2 linked regions of the Macaca mulatta genome follow. The protein of the gene in region 1 binds, or shares a complex with, the protein of each later gene. Links are inferred from orthologs where the notes say so. Each region holds a gene or a part of one and is shown in the gene's direction. Other genes may lie near its edges. The genes, in order: IMMT and CHCHD3.

Region 1 (8,609 bases):
CTCACGCCTGTAATCCCAGCACTTTGGGAGGCCCAGGCAGGCGGATCACGAGGTCAGAAGTTCGAGACCAGCCTGGCCAACATGATGAAACCCCCGTCTCTACTAAAAATACAAAAAGCAGCCGGGCGCGGTGGCAAGCGCCTGTAATCTCAGCTACTCGGGAGGCTGAGGCAGGAGAATCGCTTGAAACCGGAAGGCGGAGGTTGCAGTGAGTCGAGATCGCGCCACTGAAATCCAGTCTGGGCGAAAGAGCGAAACTCCGTCTCAAAAAAAAAAAAAAAAAAAGAAAGAAAGAAAAAAAAAAAACAAAAATTCTTGCCGGGCGCGGTGGCTCACGCCTGTAATCGCGGCACTTTGGGCGGCCCAGGCGGGCAGATCACGAGGTCAGCACATTGAGACCATCGTGGCTAACACGGTGAAACCCCGTCTCTACTAAGGGGTACAAAAAATTAGCCGGGCGTGGTGGCACGCGCCTGTAGTCCCAGCTATTCGGGAGGCTGAGGCAGGAGAATCGCTTGAACCCGGGAGGCAGATGTTGCAGTGAGCCGAGATCGAGACACCGCACTCCAGCCTGGGGTACAGAGCGAGATATAGGGGGTGTTACCTTGGAACACTATTGTTGCCAACTTGATCTCCCACCTATGGTGGCCACTTTGAGTCCAAAAATAGGCACATACGCTAGACAAGTATATTGAGACATTCATAAAAATTCTTTGAATTGGCAATGGGAGTCATTGCACACTTTTTTTTTTTTTTTTTTTTTTTTTTGAGACGAGGTCTTGGTCTGTTGCTCAGGCTTGAGCGATCACAGCTCACTGCAGCCTCGACCTCCTAGGCTAAAGCAATCCTCCCACCTAAGCCTCCTGAGTAGCTGAGACTACAGGCACACACCACCACACCTGGCTAATTTTTAATTTTTTTGTAGAGACCTAGCTCTCACTATGTGAGCCCAGGGTGGTCTCAATTGTTTGGTCCTGGAATCAAACATTTCTCCCACCTCGGCCTCCCAAAGTGCTAGGATTACAGGTGTGAGCCACTGAGCCTGGCCTCACTGCACATTTTTGAACAAGTGAGTGATTTGATTTAAATTTTGCTTTTTAGAGACAGGGTCTGAGTGCAGTGGTGCAATCACTGCAGCCTGTAATTCCTGGGCTCAAGGGATCCTCCCACCACAGCCTTCCAAGTAGCTGGCACCATAGGTATGCACAATCATCCCCTGCTAATTAAAAAAAAATTGTTTGTAGAGATGAGGCCTCGCTTTTTTTTTTTTTTTTTTTTTGGAGACACTCTCGCTCTGTTGCCCAGGCTGGAGTGCAGTGGCACAATCTCGGCTCACTGCAAGCTCCGCCTCCCAGGTTCATGCCATTCTCCTGCCTCAGCCTCCCGAGTAGCTGGGACTACAGGTGCCTGCCACCACGCCCGGCTAATTTTTTGTATTTTTTTTTCAGTAGCGACGGGGTTTCACCGTGTTAGCCAGGATGGTCTCGACCTCCTGACCTCGTGATCCACCCCCCTCGCCCTCCCAAAGTGCTGGAAGAGGCCTCGCTCTTTTGCTCAGGCAGGTATCAAACTCCTGGGCTCAAGTGATCCTGCCACCTCAGTCTGCCAAAATGCCGGGATATGAACCAACACACCCAGCCCCTGATAACTTTTTTTTTTTTTTTCTGAGACGGAGTTTCGCTCTGTGCCCCAGTCTAGAGTGCAGTGGTGTGATCTCTGCTCACTGCAACCTCTGCTTCCTGGGTTCAAGCGATTCTCCTGCTTCAGCTTCCCAAGTAGCTGGGATTACAGGCGCGCACCACCAAGCCCAGCTAATTTTTGTATTTTTAGTAGAGAGGGGTTTCACCATGTTGGCCAGGTTGGTCTCAAATTCCCGACCTCTGGTGATCCGCCCACCTCGGCCTCCCAAAGTGCTGGGATTACAGGTGTGAGCCACAGCGCCCAGCTTCCCTGATAACATTTTAAAGCAAAAATATTGACAACTTGCATGTGGAGAGTGAGGACTCTCCACATAGGTTATGAGGGGTTGGGAGACTAATTTTGAAGTTTGAGATCTTGAAGCTAGAGAGGTTGCTAATGATGTTCAGGTGCAAGTTGTGGCTGTGATGTACATGACTGAAGCAGGATGAAAGCGTTCACTGGCATTGAGAAGTTCAAAGCCAAGGGTGTTAGAAAAGTCATCACACCGGCACCATTGGGCATGACAGCAGTGGGCAGGGAGGCAGCAATTCAATCTAAAGAAAACGGGAGACTGCTCTGGAAGCTAAGTGAAAGAGATACGAAACTGAGTATATGTAATTACTGTAGTCCCCTAAAAACCATAGAAGATATACAAACATAACCCTTTGATTTTAGATAATTTTCAAGTCTCTCTCTCCATGTTACAAGTCATAGCGCAGCCTACCTCTACAGAGAATACATACTGTAATAAATTACCCAGTTAAGACTTGGAATACTTTGCAAACTCAGTACAAGATAGAAAAGTTAGTTTCCATGATATTGCAATAAGATGTTAATAATATTAATATTAACGTATTAATTCTGGAGCATACATGGAGTATTAATACCATGCTTAATATTTAACGTTTTATTTTGATTATCGAATCAATGGAATACTTTTTTTTTTTTTTTTTTGATACGGAGCTTAGCTCTTGTTGCCTAGGCTGGAGTGCAATGGCATGATCTCAGCTCACTGCAACCTCCGCCCCCGCCCCGCCCCGCCCCGGGCTCAAGCAATTCTCCTGCCTCAGCCTCCCGAGTAGCTGGGATTACAGGCACCCGCCAGCATGCCCAGCTAAATTTCTGTATTTTTTAGTAAAGACGGGGTTTCACTATTTTGGCCAGGCTGGTCTCGAATTCCTGACCTCAGGCGACCCGCCCGCCTCGGCCTCCCAAAGTGCTGGTATTACAGGGGTGAGCCACCGTGCCCGGCCCAGTGGAATACTTTTAACGGTGCTTCTGCGCTGACTTCCCATCTTCCAACCCATCCACAAATTGCAGCCAAAATGATATTACTACAGTAAAAACTTGGAGAACGCAGTGTGGTTTAATCTGGAAGAGCAGAAGCTGTGGAGTCCAAAGGACCCGTGTTCCTATCCTTGTTGTGCCACTTGACACGTTCCACACAAGGGTCCCTACAGTGTTCGTTCACCGTTTCCAGCAATCAGGATGACTCCCTGAAGGGCCGTCAGACGAAACAAACGCGCAACCTGTGACAACTGCATTGTTTACGTAACTTTCGCCAAATAGGCTCCTTCCTACGAAATATCTAGCTCACAGAGCCAGGTGAGATTCTTTTTTGCTTTAATTCTCTGAAGAGCCACAGATGTCCATTTTCCGCGTGAGTCTGAAGACTGGATTTCAGAACGCTCTCCTTCCAGCCGCGTTCACCTAGTAACCCCAGCTCCGGGCTAAGGACCTGCAGCCCGAGCGCGACCCGGAAAAGGAATCCGCCCTTTTCGCCTCCTGCGCACCAATCGCCCGGCGTTGGCGTTTCCGCAGCCGGGACAGAGCCCACCCTCTAAGAGCCACCGAGTTGCTGCGGGCAGAAGGGGCCGCGCGTGCGCAGTGGCATCGGCTGCGCTTCCGGTGCGCCGGGCGCGGACGCGGGTACGCACACACGCAAGCACGCCTCCACTTAACTCGCGCCGCCTTGGCAGCTCCCGAGTCCAGCAGCAGTGCCGTCCGCTCGACCGAGATGCTGCGGGCCTGTCAGTTATCGGGTGTGACCGCTGCCGCCCAGGTGAGCACTGGGGCATCCGAGGGCGCGTGAGGAGGCTGACCTAGGACCGCCAGCGAAAAACGGGGGAGCCTTGGGCCCTGCCTAGCCTCCAGGACAAAGGCGAGTCTCTGGGCTACCCTCGTCGGGAGAGGCCTGGGCTGGCAACGAGGCAGCCACCAGGGAGTTCGCCAGACTGGGATGACTTGAGGTTATTGCAGCAGCGGGGTGAGGTGTGGAGAGTAGCGGGAGGCGCGGCTTCGAGGGCGTGCAGTCCAATCAGCGCCGCGCTGCCCCCGTCCAGGACCAATCCTGACTGCTGGCGTCTGGGTCGCCGGTTGGGCGCGCGATAGGTTTTTAGTGCTGAAGGTCGACGGGGGAGAACTACAGTTCCCGGCAGGACGAGCGGAGCCGCGGCTTGTTGCATCCTTAATAAGGAGGTGCCTGGACTTCTAGCGAGTGTCCACATTTTAGGGGTCAAGGTTGTAATTATCTGTGAGGGACTGCCTTTCTTTTCGCAGCTGGGAACACTTATGCACTATTCTTAATCCAAACAAAAGCGAAAGATTTTCCTTTGTGGAGTTGAAACTCCTGGTCTTCAAGGAAAGACAGGAGTCATGACCTTGTGGCTCATTTCTGAGATTAGGACAGGGATCTGTGTCTCCAGGCGCTGGGACTACTTTGACATTCAAGAAGCCTAAATACCCAGTTACTTTTAGTTTTGCGTAATTGCCAAAGTTACTTTCTAAAATTGAAAATAAAAAAGCCTGTTTCCATTGCTCACGATTATCAGAAAGTTGATATTTTGGCAAAATGTTGTAGATAGCAAAACAAGTACTGTGACTAAAGCAGTAAGTGAACAGAATCCCTAGGAAGAGTGAGTTAGAGATCATAAAAGTCAAGCTTTGTTTTTTCAAGTTCGCTTCTCTTCCTATTTGCTGCTAGGTAACAGAAGCAACCCCTTCCATAGGAAAGTGGAACGAACCTACGTTAGTTTTCTATTGTACGTAACAACCACAAATTTAGCAGAACCTTACGGGTTCTGTAGGATAGAAGCCTGGTCATGGATGATCTGTGTTCTCCCCTCCAGGTCACACAAGGCTGCAAAGTATTAGCCATGCTGTGGTTCTCATTTGGAGATCTGGGTCCTCTTCCAGGCTAATGCAGTTTGTGGGCAGAATTCAGTCCGTTGCAGTTACACGACTGAAGTCCCTTTTTTCTTGCTGCCTCTTGTCAGCCACTGCTCCCAGCTTCTACAGCCTACCCACAGTTCCTTGCCTCAAGGCTTCCAGAGGCCATTCATAACATGGATGGCTGCTTTCGTGCAGGCTACCAGGATCTTGCCTCTCTAACTTCCAAATTTCTTTTATTTCGGTCTTTCCTCTCTAGACCCAGATTTAAAAGGCTTGTGTGATTAGACCAGGCCCACCTGGATGACCTCCTTTTCAGTTAATGCAGAGTCAAGTTTTTGGGATCCCATTTGGGAAATAAGAAAACTAATTAAAACTTTGTAATAAAAAATGAACCCTTTTATAGCTCTGAATCCAGATGTCTAAACTTCCTGAAATTGCTATCTTGTAAAATTCTTTGGTTTATTCTCACCATCTCCTCAATCATTCTGTAGCATTTGACATCTGCTTTATGAGGCTCTGCACTTTTGGCTTCTCTCAAGTAATATTTTGGGTCCCATCTAGTTTTCCCTCACTGAGTCTGCTGCTTCTTCATACCTCGAAATATACACCTTCTCATCTCTCCCTGTCTCTATAGACTCTCCAATTTGAGATTACATCAACTGTCAGAACTTTAATCCCCAAGCAGATGACTCTCGAGCCTTATCGTATTTGATTGTGCCAACTTATCCAGAATATCTCACGTGTCAAGATCCTTTCCACTTTATTAAACCCCATCTTTCTTTTTTTTTTTTTTTTTTTTTTGGATACGGAGTGTCACTTTGTCACCCAGGCTGGAGTGCAGTGGCGCAATCATGGCTCACTGCAGCCTTGACCTCCCGAGCGCAAGCAGTCCTCTTACCTCAGCCTCCTGAGTAGCTGGGACCACAGGCATGTGCCGCCATCCCTGGCTAATTTTTTAAAAAATTTTTGTAGAGACAGAGTCTCTCTGTGTTGCCCAGGCTGTTCTCAATCTCCTGAGCTCAAATGATCCTCCCACTTCTGCCTCCCAAAATGCTGGGAATATAGGTGTGAGCCACTGTGCCCAGCCAACCCCATCTTCTTAAATGTCTTACTGCTTTTACTGTTGCCTCCTAGAGTCCATTCTTTAGGAGGGAATAGTAAAAGCAGTAAGACATATAGTAAAAGGCTTTTTAAAAGGCAAACATGCAAACATGAGGTCATGCTCTTTAGAGACATCCCATCACATTCATAATAAAATCTAAACTGCTTACCATGGGCCCTTGATCTGATTCTTCTCGTATTTCGTTTTTCTACTGCCTCACTCATATTCTCCTGGTAATCTCCAGCATGTGCCTCACTGCCTTTTCATCAGTTGTTTCTTTTGCCCTGAACTCTTCTCACACATGTTTGCTTAGCTTATTCCTTTCAGGTGTTTTTTCAAATGTCACCTTCCCTTCAGAGAGGGCATCCTGATCCAAAATAAAATTCTCACTACTCTGGCCTTCCTTGCATCACTGTATCTTTACCCCATCCTACTTTGTTATACTTTGTAGCTCCTAGCACTACCTGATGTTATAATGTGTACTTATTACACAGTTTCCACCTTTAAAAAGTAAGCTCCACAATGGAACTGTGTCCATATTGTTTACTGCTGTATTTCCAGTGTTGACAATAGTCCCTAGCTCCAAGTAGATGCTCAGTGAATGTTTATGACATATAAATGAAAGAATGAATGTGTTCATAAATTTTTTTTGTTCTTTTTTTTGAGACGGAGTCTCGCTCTGTCGCCCAGGCTGGAGTGCCGTGGCCGTATCTCAGCTCACTGCAAGCTCTGCCTCCCGGGTTCATGCCATTCTCCTGCCTCAGCCTCCCGAGTAGCTGGGACTACAGGCGCCCGCCACCTCGCCTGGCTAGTTTTTTGTATTTTTTAGTAGAGACGGGGTTTCACCGTGTTAGCCAGGATGGTCTCGATCTCCTGACCTCGTGATCCACCCATCTCGGCCTCCCAAAATGCTGGGATTACAGGCTTGAGCCACCGCGCCCGGTCAAAAATTTTTTAGAGATGGGGTCTCATTGTGTTTCCCAGGCTGGTCTTCAACTCCTGGGCTCAAGTGATATGCCCACCTCGGCCTCCCAAAGTGGAATTTTTCTTAAATCTGCGTAAGTGGATGTGACCTCCCTTTAAACATCCCATATATTTTCAAACCTCTGATTATGTATTAAGGTTCTCCAGAGAAACAGAAACAATAGGGGTGTGTGTGTGTGTGGTGGGTGTGTGTGTGTGCACGCGTGTGTTGAGATAGGGTCTCATTCTGTTGCCCAGGCTGGAGTACAGCAGCGTGATCATAACTCAGTGCAGTCTCAATCTCCTGGGCTTAAGCGATCCTCCCACCTCACCTCCTGAGCAGCTGGGACTACAGGCTTAGGCTGCCATGCCCAGCCAATGTTTTGGACTTTTAGTAGAGATGGGGTCTCGCAATGTTGTTCCAGCTCATCTTGAACTTCTGGGCTCAAGCAATCTCCCGACCCTGTCCTCCCCAAAGTGCTGGGATTACAGGCATGAGTCATAGTGCTCAGCCTAGGAAGATTTATTTATTTATTTATTTATTTATTTATTTTTGAGACGGAGTCTTGCTCTGTCACCCAGGCTGGGTTTGGCTTACTGCAAGCTTCGTCTCCCGGGTTCACGCCATTCTCCTGCCTTAGCCTCCTGAGTAGCTGGGACTACAGGTGCCTGCCACCAAGCCCAGCTAATTTTTTTTTTTTTTTTTTTTTTTTTTTGTATTTTTAGTAGAGATGGGGTTTCACTGTATTAGCCAGGATGGTCTTGATCTCCTGACCTCGTGATCCACCCACCTCGGCCTCCCAAAATGCTGGTATTACAGGCGTGAGCCACCACCCGACTGGAAGATGCATCATAAGAACTCTACTCACACAGTTATGGAGGCTAGCAAGTCCAGAATCTGCTGTGTGGGTTGGCAGGCTGGAGACCTAGGAGAGCCAATATTGCAGTTTCAGTCCACTGGCTAGCAGCCTGGAGACCCAGGAGAGTGGATCATGCAGTTTCAGTCTGGAGGCAGTCTGCTAGAGAACTGCCTCTTGCTTTTTGTTGTGTTTGAGCCTTCAACTGATTGAATGAAGCCCACCCATGTTATAGGGCAATTTTTTTTTTTTTTTTTTTTTTTTTTTTGAGACAGGATCTTGCTCTGTCACCCAGGCTGGAGTGCATTGGTGCAATCTCAGCTGACTGCAACCTCCATCCACCAGGCTCAAGCCATCCTCCCACCTCAGCCTCCTGAGTAGCTAGGACTGCAGGCATGCACCACCACACCCAGCTAATTTGTATTTTTGTTTTTTCTGTAGAGACAGGGTTTTGCTGTATTACCCAGGCTGGTCTGAAACTCCTGGGCTCAAGCAATCCACCCGTCTTTGCCTCCCAAAGTGCTGGGATTATAGGAGTGAGCCATCATGCCTGGCCACTAGTTCACCAATTAAAATGTTAATCTCATCCAAAAACACAATCCAAGTTGACACACAAAATGAACCATCACAGATAATATCTACCTTATTCTTTGTTGTTGTTGTTGTTGAAATGGAGTCTTGCTCTGTTGCCCAGGCTGGAATGCAGTGGTGCGATCTCGGCTCACTGCAACCTCCGCCTCCCGGATTCAAGCAATTCTCCTGCCTCAGTCTCTCAAGTGACTGGGACTGCAGGTGCGTGCCACCGTGCCCAGCTAATATTTTTAGTAGAGACAGGG
Region 2 (8,010 bases), on another chromosome or scaffold:
TTTGTTAGCTATAGAATTTTGCCTGTTGAGAAGACTTTGTAGGCTTGAGAAAATAGCATCTCATGAGTACGTGATCATTCTAAATTATATGTGATCTGGAAGTTTATTTGGGGTCCTTCCAGATTGAGTTCATGTTGCCTTCAGTTATGTTGAGTCCCCAAACTCTATACAATTATTGCCTCTTAGTCCTAGTATCTTCTAAGTAAGAATTAAGTAAAAATTTTATCTGCCTTTTTAAAGATACGTAGCCCAAATATAAGTCAAGAACACCAAGATATGTTGGAAAGTAAAAATTAGCCAGTGGTTTGTTTCTTCCACCTCATACCAAATGCCTGACTTCCCAAATCCTTCCACCTGTTAAACAGCTAAACAAAACTTGGGGACCCTCATTCTTTGGAGGCTCAGTTTCCTAAGTTCAGACCCCTAATGAGGAATAGGAACTCTCCAGCTCTTCAGTTGTGCTGGGTGAGCCCATACAGTGAGATCCAACTCAGGGTTTGGTGCAGTTGGCAAGATCCCAAGAGGGTTTTCTGTGAAGGGTAGAATGAGAGCTGCGTCTTGAGAAGAAACCAGGCAGCAGGGGAGTCCCATCGTGTCAGGGTGTGGGTGTGTTACTCTCCCCTGAGCACCACAGAGAAGCCTCAGCCTCTACCAGCTGTCATGTGGCCACATGTTGTTAAATTCCTGCTCTCCTAGGTTTTTCCACCCTGCCCCCCATCATTTCCAAGGACCCAGTATTATTGAATAAGAAAAACACATTGCAAAATTGAAAAGTTGTTTGCTCACCTTACATTTTGGTGTGTTTGTACCCGTCTGTTTAGGGTGTATGAGGCCTATTGGCATAAGAACTGTGTATCTGTGTGTATAGAGTGCTGTGTTGCTCATTTTAGCAGGGATAGGTGGCCAGAGGTCCTCTCTTTTGGATTTTCTTGGGTTTAGGGCTTTTACTCAGAGTCCTAACACTGGAGTGGAAGGCTGGCAGTGCTTTCCCCTCCTGCCCTCCAGGTCACGCTCCCCCTGTGGATCCAGACTATGGAATTGTGAACCTGACATCTTTTTCCAAAGTCAATAGTGGATTAAAATTAAAATGTTAAATCTTAAAGTATTTTCAGATACATACTATTCTTTCAAACCTTGGGTTTACAGGATATAATTTTATATGCTCTGTTTTCTAGCTAGCCAAAGCTAAGCTTTTCTTTTAAAGCCCAAGCTGAAGCTATTCGATTAAATAGTAAGGCCCTCATTACAGGTCATGGTCTGCTCTCAGTGTGACTGGTTCGTTGAGCTAAGTGCTGAACTAGGTGATGTCCAGGTCAGCATTCCTTTCTCTGGTAACAGTGGAGGCCGCTTGGCATTTTGTGTTGTGATGGTAGAAAACGTATTAGTTAACATTCATCATGTTAGTAATCAAAAGAAATTGTATCTCAAATTGTATATGAAAACAAATGGAAACAAAGCAGGCAGCTTTTGGAGCTATTTGGACCACTTTAGAGAGGGCCCTCTAAAGTGTAATTGTGGAAATTTGATTATAGCTCAAATGGAAATATCATTAATAAAAGGGTTAGCAGTTATTAAGAATGTCAGAAAAGCTTAAAATTGAATTTTTCAGATCTTGCATTGTTAGAGGCTATTTACATTTTACTCTGAAAACAAATATTAGGATATTTAGATTTAAGGTAAAATCAAAAAGTTAATATAGTACATTTCAGATATTTTCTTTATATTGCATTTTACAATAGATTAATTATAAGTGATAAGAGAAACAAAAGTAAAGGATTACATATTTTTAAATATTGGCAATGTGCCTAGTAGCTTTAGTTTTGCATTTTAAAAGGAAAGCAGAAATCCTAATCACCGGGTTTAACAGCTAATAAAAAGTTGGTAGAGAAAAAAATTAGAGTTTTGCATTGTGATATAGGAACTAGACCTAAAGATTTGATTCCCTGATTGTGTCGTGTGTCTGCTTTTAGTGTAAAATATGGTTTTATGAGACCACCTGATCCCGTGAAGGATGCATTATCACAACCTGTTAAAAAAAAAAAATTAGAATTCTCCTTTTAACACCAGCCATTCTCATATTCATTTTCTCTCTCCCTCCTTCTTTCCTTCTTGTTCCTTCTCTTCTCCCTCTCTCTGGTCTTTCATCATAGTATCTGTAGAACTCTCTCAGCGTACTTCTGGTTCAGGTACAGAGAAAGGATCCTTTCCTTGCATGCCTACACTCATAATGAGTGACTTCAGTGTCCTCTAGAGCCTTGGGAGTTGTGGCTGCCAGCTGATTGAGTGGAGAGTGGTGTGAGGAGTGTTATCTCCATATTTTTTCCTTCTCTGAAGTTACCTTATTATCCTCACCATTAACATTAGCAGAACTAAAAAGATGGGTAAGTAGTTTTCTTGAAATGTAAACCTCAGACCCACATCAAAGAAGATTCTAAGACTTGAAAGTAGAGGCAGCAGTGGAACCAACAGATAGTTTTAAAACAGAAAACCAAGTGTAACTGTGTTACGGAGTCTTAAGAGGGGACTTCTGAATACTCCCTCTGGTTTGTTTTTGCTAAAACTGTTTTTGTTTCTCTTTGATCAATTAATTTAACTTACAGGAAAGTCTCCTAAGGTAATAATCAGAAATGGTAGTAATAATTTATGTCCTTCATGTTTTTTAAGCAGTGAAAAATTAGAAACAGCCTAAATGTGTATCTTTATTCTTTTCTGTCTTTTTCCACAGTTTCTACAATAGACCTGTTAGTATAATGAGAAAAAATACTTGGATATATATTTTTAGATGCCTTTTAAGTGAATATTAACATTAAACATTAGCCAAAAAATGTTTTGCTGGTGACAGGCTACAGAATACCTACCAAAAGTGCTTCTTCTGATTTTGTTCCGGGGTCAAATCTTTGGGACTCCAGTTCTACCTTTGGTACTGTCAGCAACCCCTTGGGCCTTTGGTGCCACTGTATGGGGTAGGGAGGGCCAAAGGGAGGGCGGGCTGCTAGTGCTTGTGGAGATGAGGGGAGAGGAAGGGAAGAGCAGAGTAAAAGAGTACAAGAAAGAAAAGAAAAGAGACGTGTGTACATATGGTAGGATCCATGAAAGGTTCCCAGTAATTTCAAGTGACCACAAAACTGAATTTTTTTTTCTTGTTTTTGTTAAATGTATATTTTCGAAGGTTGACTCTGTTCCACCGATTTTTTCTTGCTAAACATGTTTTTGAGTAACTATCAGATCTTCCCACTTCTTTATTAGTGTTTTAAGTTTTCCATATCTGTATTTTATCCTTAACATTGTTATTCACCATTTATTTGCCTCTTCCTTACGTACAAAGAAATTAACTTGTCTAATCATCCTTTGCTGCTAAGATTGAATTTTCCTTCCTAGGTATCTTGAAAGTCTGCCTTTCATTATTTTTGCCTAATAGGGGCTTTTTCCATCAGCAGGAATGAAAGCAGTCAATAAAAGTCAATTGCTGACTCTATGATTATATGGAGGGTTTACCATAATGCATATTGGAAATGTTTTTGAAACCTTTATCCTGAATGGAAGGTGCCATGGCTTGTGTTTTATGGCCTTCTAATGTTAGACAGCAATCTCATTTAGCATTTTCCCAAAGTGAAAACAGTGCATTAGGGCAGTATAACAAGCTTTACAGATCAATACAGAGGCAAACCTTTACCCTTACAGATTAATCCAAGAAAGTGTCCCAGAGTCTACTCCAGGAGCTGGAGGACAATTATGCATCCTCTTCCCCTCTTTCTACCATCGAATCATTAATACAGATTGAAATGTGTACAAAAAGAATATCAGAGGATGACTACACACACACACACACACACACACACACACACACACACACACACACACACACACACACACACACACACACACACAGAACAGACCACCAGACGGGAAATCAAGAGCCCTGGAAGTGAGTAGTATTGATTTGTGGTGATAAAAGTATATTTTGACACATTTCAAATCATAAATAACTCATGGACTTTAACTTGCATGACTAATAGCTCAACTCAGGATACATGCTTATCTACAACTTAAACTACCTCTTTCTGAGGAGTCCATAACATTAGGTGAATTATCCCATTGTGAGTAGTCTTTTTAAAGGAAAAAATACGCTGTCTTCTTTATGATGTGCAGTGTGGCTGCTCATTTTTACAGTCTTTTCCTGTATGTTAATGAGGAAGGGCTGCATATCTGGTCAGGGTTGTTCTAGCCTTCCCTCCTCACCTCCTTCCCCCTGCTTTTAAATCTGAGACACATTGGAGACAGGATCAGTTGTCAACACTAGGATACAATGTAACCCCGCTTTCCTGTGAGCTATTAGTCATTAGTCATGTATATGCTAGGTTCAGCTGATCTGATGCTTAATCATATTTTATTCAATATTTATCTAGATGCAGGTCTTGCTATAATTAGTCACTTAGTGGTATCTGTGCCTATACTCTTTGAAGCACGACTGATTCCTTTTAAATCCTGATGTTCATGGTAAAGGATTAGGGAAATCTGTGTCCAGAAAAATTCATAGACATCTGAAGTTTGAAATCTTAAAGCATGGAAACTCCGGGGATTCTATTTAAATTCTGTTCTTAGGTATTTGACAAAGCAGTAAGGTAATGAATGAAAAAGTAAAAGGGATGTTATAGAAAAATTGCTGAAACTTTTTTTTTTCTCTGTATGTCTGTGTTCTTTAGAGGGTAGTAGGAAGTCAGGGAACTGCCAACATGCTTTGCGTTTCTATTCTAGCAAAATAGATATTAGCTTAGTGTACTGGATAAAAGGACTGAGGAGACAAATCGTCGCCCAGGGGTTTCTTTATTGATGAGAAATATTCCCCCTGTGTTCTCTAGGGGTTTTTTTTTTAGAACCCATTAAGTTTAAAATAATGTGATTTCAAGATTACTATGGAAATAACAAATTTAAATTTCAAAAATAGAAGTGATAAGACTGGAAGCTTGTATTAAAACTAATTTGAAAAAACATGAATTTCTAGATTAAAAGTAGTAGTACTGTGTTTTTTTTTTCTCTGTATGTATTTAGTCCTTACAATCCAAACTTCCCTGCCATGTTAATAAGAATATTTTACCTTCATTTGTATAACTCATTTGGTTTATTATCATTTTTCAAGCGTATATTATAAGCTTTTTGGAAACATTTACATTTGGTCTCAGATATTCACAGAAGCAATCTGACTAAAATCTGAGATTTGTAAGTATAAGTAGCAAAATTTTAACCCAAGGGACTTTAAAATGTTTTCTTTGTACCCATTTGTATTCACTGAGTAAATGTATTACATGACTTCTGTAGGGGTTCCCATGTCTAATAGCTGAGGTGACAAAATAAGTCACAGCCCTTGGAATTTGCATTCTAGTAAATGTAGGTTGCTAAATTGTATTAGGTTGTATGGTGTAGTCACTGTCACGTGCATGGCAAGAAAAGTGAATACAGAACCAATGGGGTCACCATAAAGGGAATGATAGACTGTACCGGGGTTGGGGGGTGGAGAGCTAATGAAGCTGACACTTGAGTGAAGTATCAAAGGATGAGTAGGTTTTCTCCAGATATATAGGCATAGGTGGGAGTTTGGGTGTAGAACATTTCCAGAAGCAAGAGCAGCATGAGCTTAGACCTGAAGAGAAGTGTAAGAACCAAACCCTGAACTGGGTTTGTCTAGGCTTCAGCTGTGTGCAGGGTGTGGGGGTGAAGGCAACAGGGTAGGCAGGAACCTGCTCAGGAAGGACTAGCCAGCTGGCCTTGTATTTTGTGTAGAAAGTGCTGGGGAAAGAGACCGTCTTCGATTTCCTATTGGAAAGAACCCTCTGGAAGGTGTGTAGGGGCAGGTGAAGAGGGTATCAAAGCTGAGAGACCAGCTGGGAGGTCATTTCTTGAGTCCAGGATGCGTCTCACTTGGAAGCAATGGAACGACAGTGATGTGGAGCAAGAGGACCAGGCTGCGGGGATCCCCAGCTTTGTGGCCAAGTGGATATGGGAATGGAAGAGAGAACTTAGGGCTTCCAAGTTTCTGGCATGTTGATACGGTTTTGGTTTGGAAGGGACGGTTATATTGTCCAGACTAACTCACAGCAGTGTCAGTTAATGGAACTCATTTCTTAGAATTTATTTACCCTTTGTCATTTTTATCATGGGAAAAATTTAGCTATCTTTAAAGTTTAAGGAAAATTCTTTCTCTTAAACTTTTTTCTACATTTGCAACATCTGTGTCTTACTGTACGTTTTGTGTATTCTTTAACCTTGATTGTTATTCTGAATGAAGACCATTGGTCTCAGCGGTCCCTGTGTTTGTTTTCAGGCGGTATGAGTCTCATCCAGTCTGTGCTGATCTGCAGGCCAAAATTCTTCAGTGTTACCGTGAGAACACCCACCAGACCCTCAAATGCTCCTCTCTGGCCACCCAGTATATGCACTGTGTCAATCATGCCAAACAGGTAGGTGTGCCAGCCAGGCCAGTGGGGGCACTGGGCAAATCGAAAACTGGATGACCTGGGGCAGTGGTAAGGACTAAGTGGGCCGCTGTGTGTGAAAAGGCTTTCTAAGCCCTAGTCATCATCATCAAGAATTACTGTAATGAGTTGATTAGGGCATAACTTCTGTCGGATCATTGTCAAAGAGCCCATATCTTCCTTGCGTTCAACTCATTTACTTGCAGAAAAAAGGATTCTACTAAGATTATACTTTTCTCCACTTGCCCTGAGCTTTTGTCTTCTAATAATAATGTTCTCAAGGTCATTCCTCATACTTTGAGGCCAATATTTAGAGCCAGTGAAGAGGATACAGATTAAGAGCTGGCACCTTTGGGCCCATAAGCAGCAGGTAGTCAGGCAGAGGGCCAGGTTAAAAAAAAAACCCCACCGTTCAGTCACTGTCCAACCCTTCCACTAGTTTGACAGAGTCCACTTAATTGGACAGGGAAAGGGAAACCAGAGATAGCATTTAAAAAAGAATTCCACTGCTTTTATAGACCATAGCCATATTCTTCTCTTGACCCTTCATATCAGAATAATACGATGTTCACAGGACGTGCATTTTCTCTAATTTATGTACTTTAGAAAGCTAATGATAAACCCTGAAGCAAATTATCCATTCTGGCAGGTCACATAATTGCCTATCATTTAACCAATTTAACCGTTGGATATAGGTTGTTCTGAGAGGCGGAAATTGTTGGAAACCTTGATTCCTTCTGCTGACAAACTCCATAGATTTGACCTTCTAACCCAACTAAATCTAGTGTTTGAGTTACACAGCATGCCTTTCTGCAGCCTAATTTGCTGTAGTTATAATAATATCACTTGGGGTAAAATTTTTATACTCTACAAATATCCGATGGGAGGGTTAGTATTGTCTGGATAGCTGGAAAATAACAGTAACATTGGTGGAAAAAAATATAATCAATATTTATTAAAAGCCTATGTTGTCCTTAAAAGCCTAGTGGCTGGCAACTTTTTTCTGTTTCTTGCTTGTAGCATAACTCTTCGTAGCGTGCCAGGAATCCTTTTCTTTAAAGGTCTTTGGTAGAGGTAATGTTGCTGATGTTAAGTTAGTACATTTTATTTGTCGAAAACAGCTTCTGATATGCTCTTAATAAACCCCAGCCTTCAATATGAATACAAACTGAAGGACTTGGGACTTGTAGGTTGATTCATGGATTTTTCTAACTTGATAATAGTGCCTTATTGAGGTGGTGGCCAGTGGAAAAGAGTGACTGTGACAAAGTGTATGTTTCAATGCTGGTCTCTAACATACGTGCCTGTTTGTACCATGTGATTTGTAACATTACCACAGTGGCAGCCGCAGGGGCATTGGGAGTGCTGACCCCATCCTGCCTGTCTGGGTTGTGTTGAATTATCTACACATAGTCCTGTGACATCAATGGTATATATTTATAGAATATAGCAAAGTTAAGTTATGACAAAATCAAATACACCACATGGCGCGATAGCGCGTTTGAATCTGGCAGACCTGAGTTTGTACCCTGTCCTTTTA

Evidence for each region.
Region 2: IMMT (region 1) and CHCHD3 share a complex: the UniProt entries of both Homo sapiens proteins name them as parts of the mitochondrial contact site and cristae organizing system (MICOS) complex. The link is inferred for Macaca mulatta from reciprocal best matches to the Homo sapiens genes IMMT and CHCHD3.

Annotation. Positions count from the first base shown.
Region 1 is NC_133418.1:38,186,187-38,194,795, forward strand, and holds the start of IMMT (MICOS complex subunit MIC60), read left to right. Parts: upstream 1-3,615; 5' UTR 3,616-3,697; coding exon 3,698-3,742; intron 3,743-8,609. UniProt on the Homo sapiens protein: Component of the MICOS complex, a large protein complex of the mitochondrial inner membrane that plays crucial roles in the maintenance of crista junctions, inner membrane architecture, and formation of contact sites to the outer membrane.
Region 2 is NC_133408.1:172,496,585-172,504,594, reverse strand, and holds part of CHCHD3 (MICOS complex subunit MIC19), read left to right. Parts: intron 1-6,319; coding exon 6,320-6,455; intron 6,456-8,010. UniProt on the Homo sapiens protein: Component of the MICOS complex, a large protein complex of the mitochondrial inner membrane that plays crucial roles in the maintenance of crista junctions, inner membrane architecture, and formation of contact sites to the outer membrane.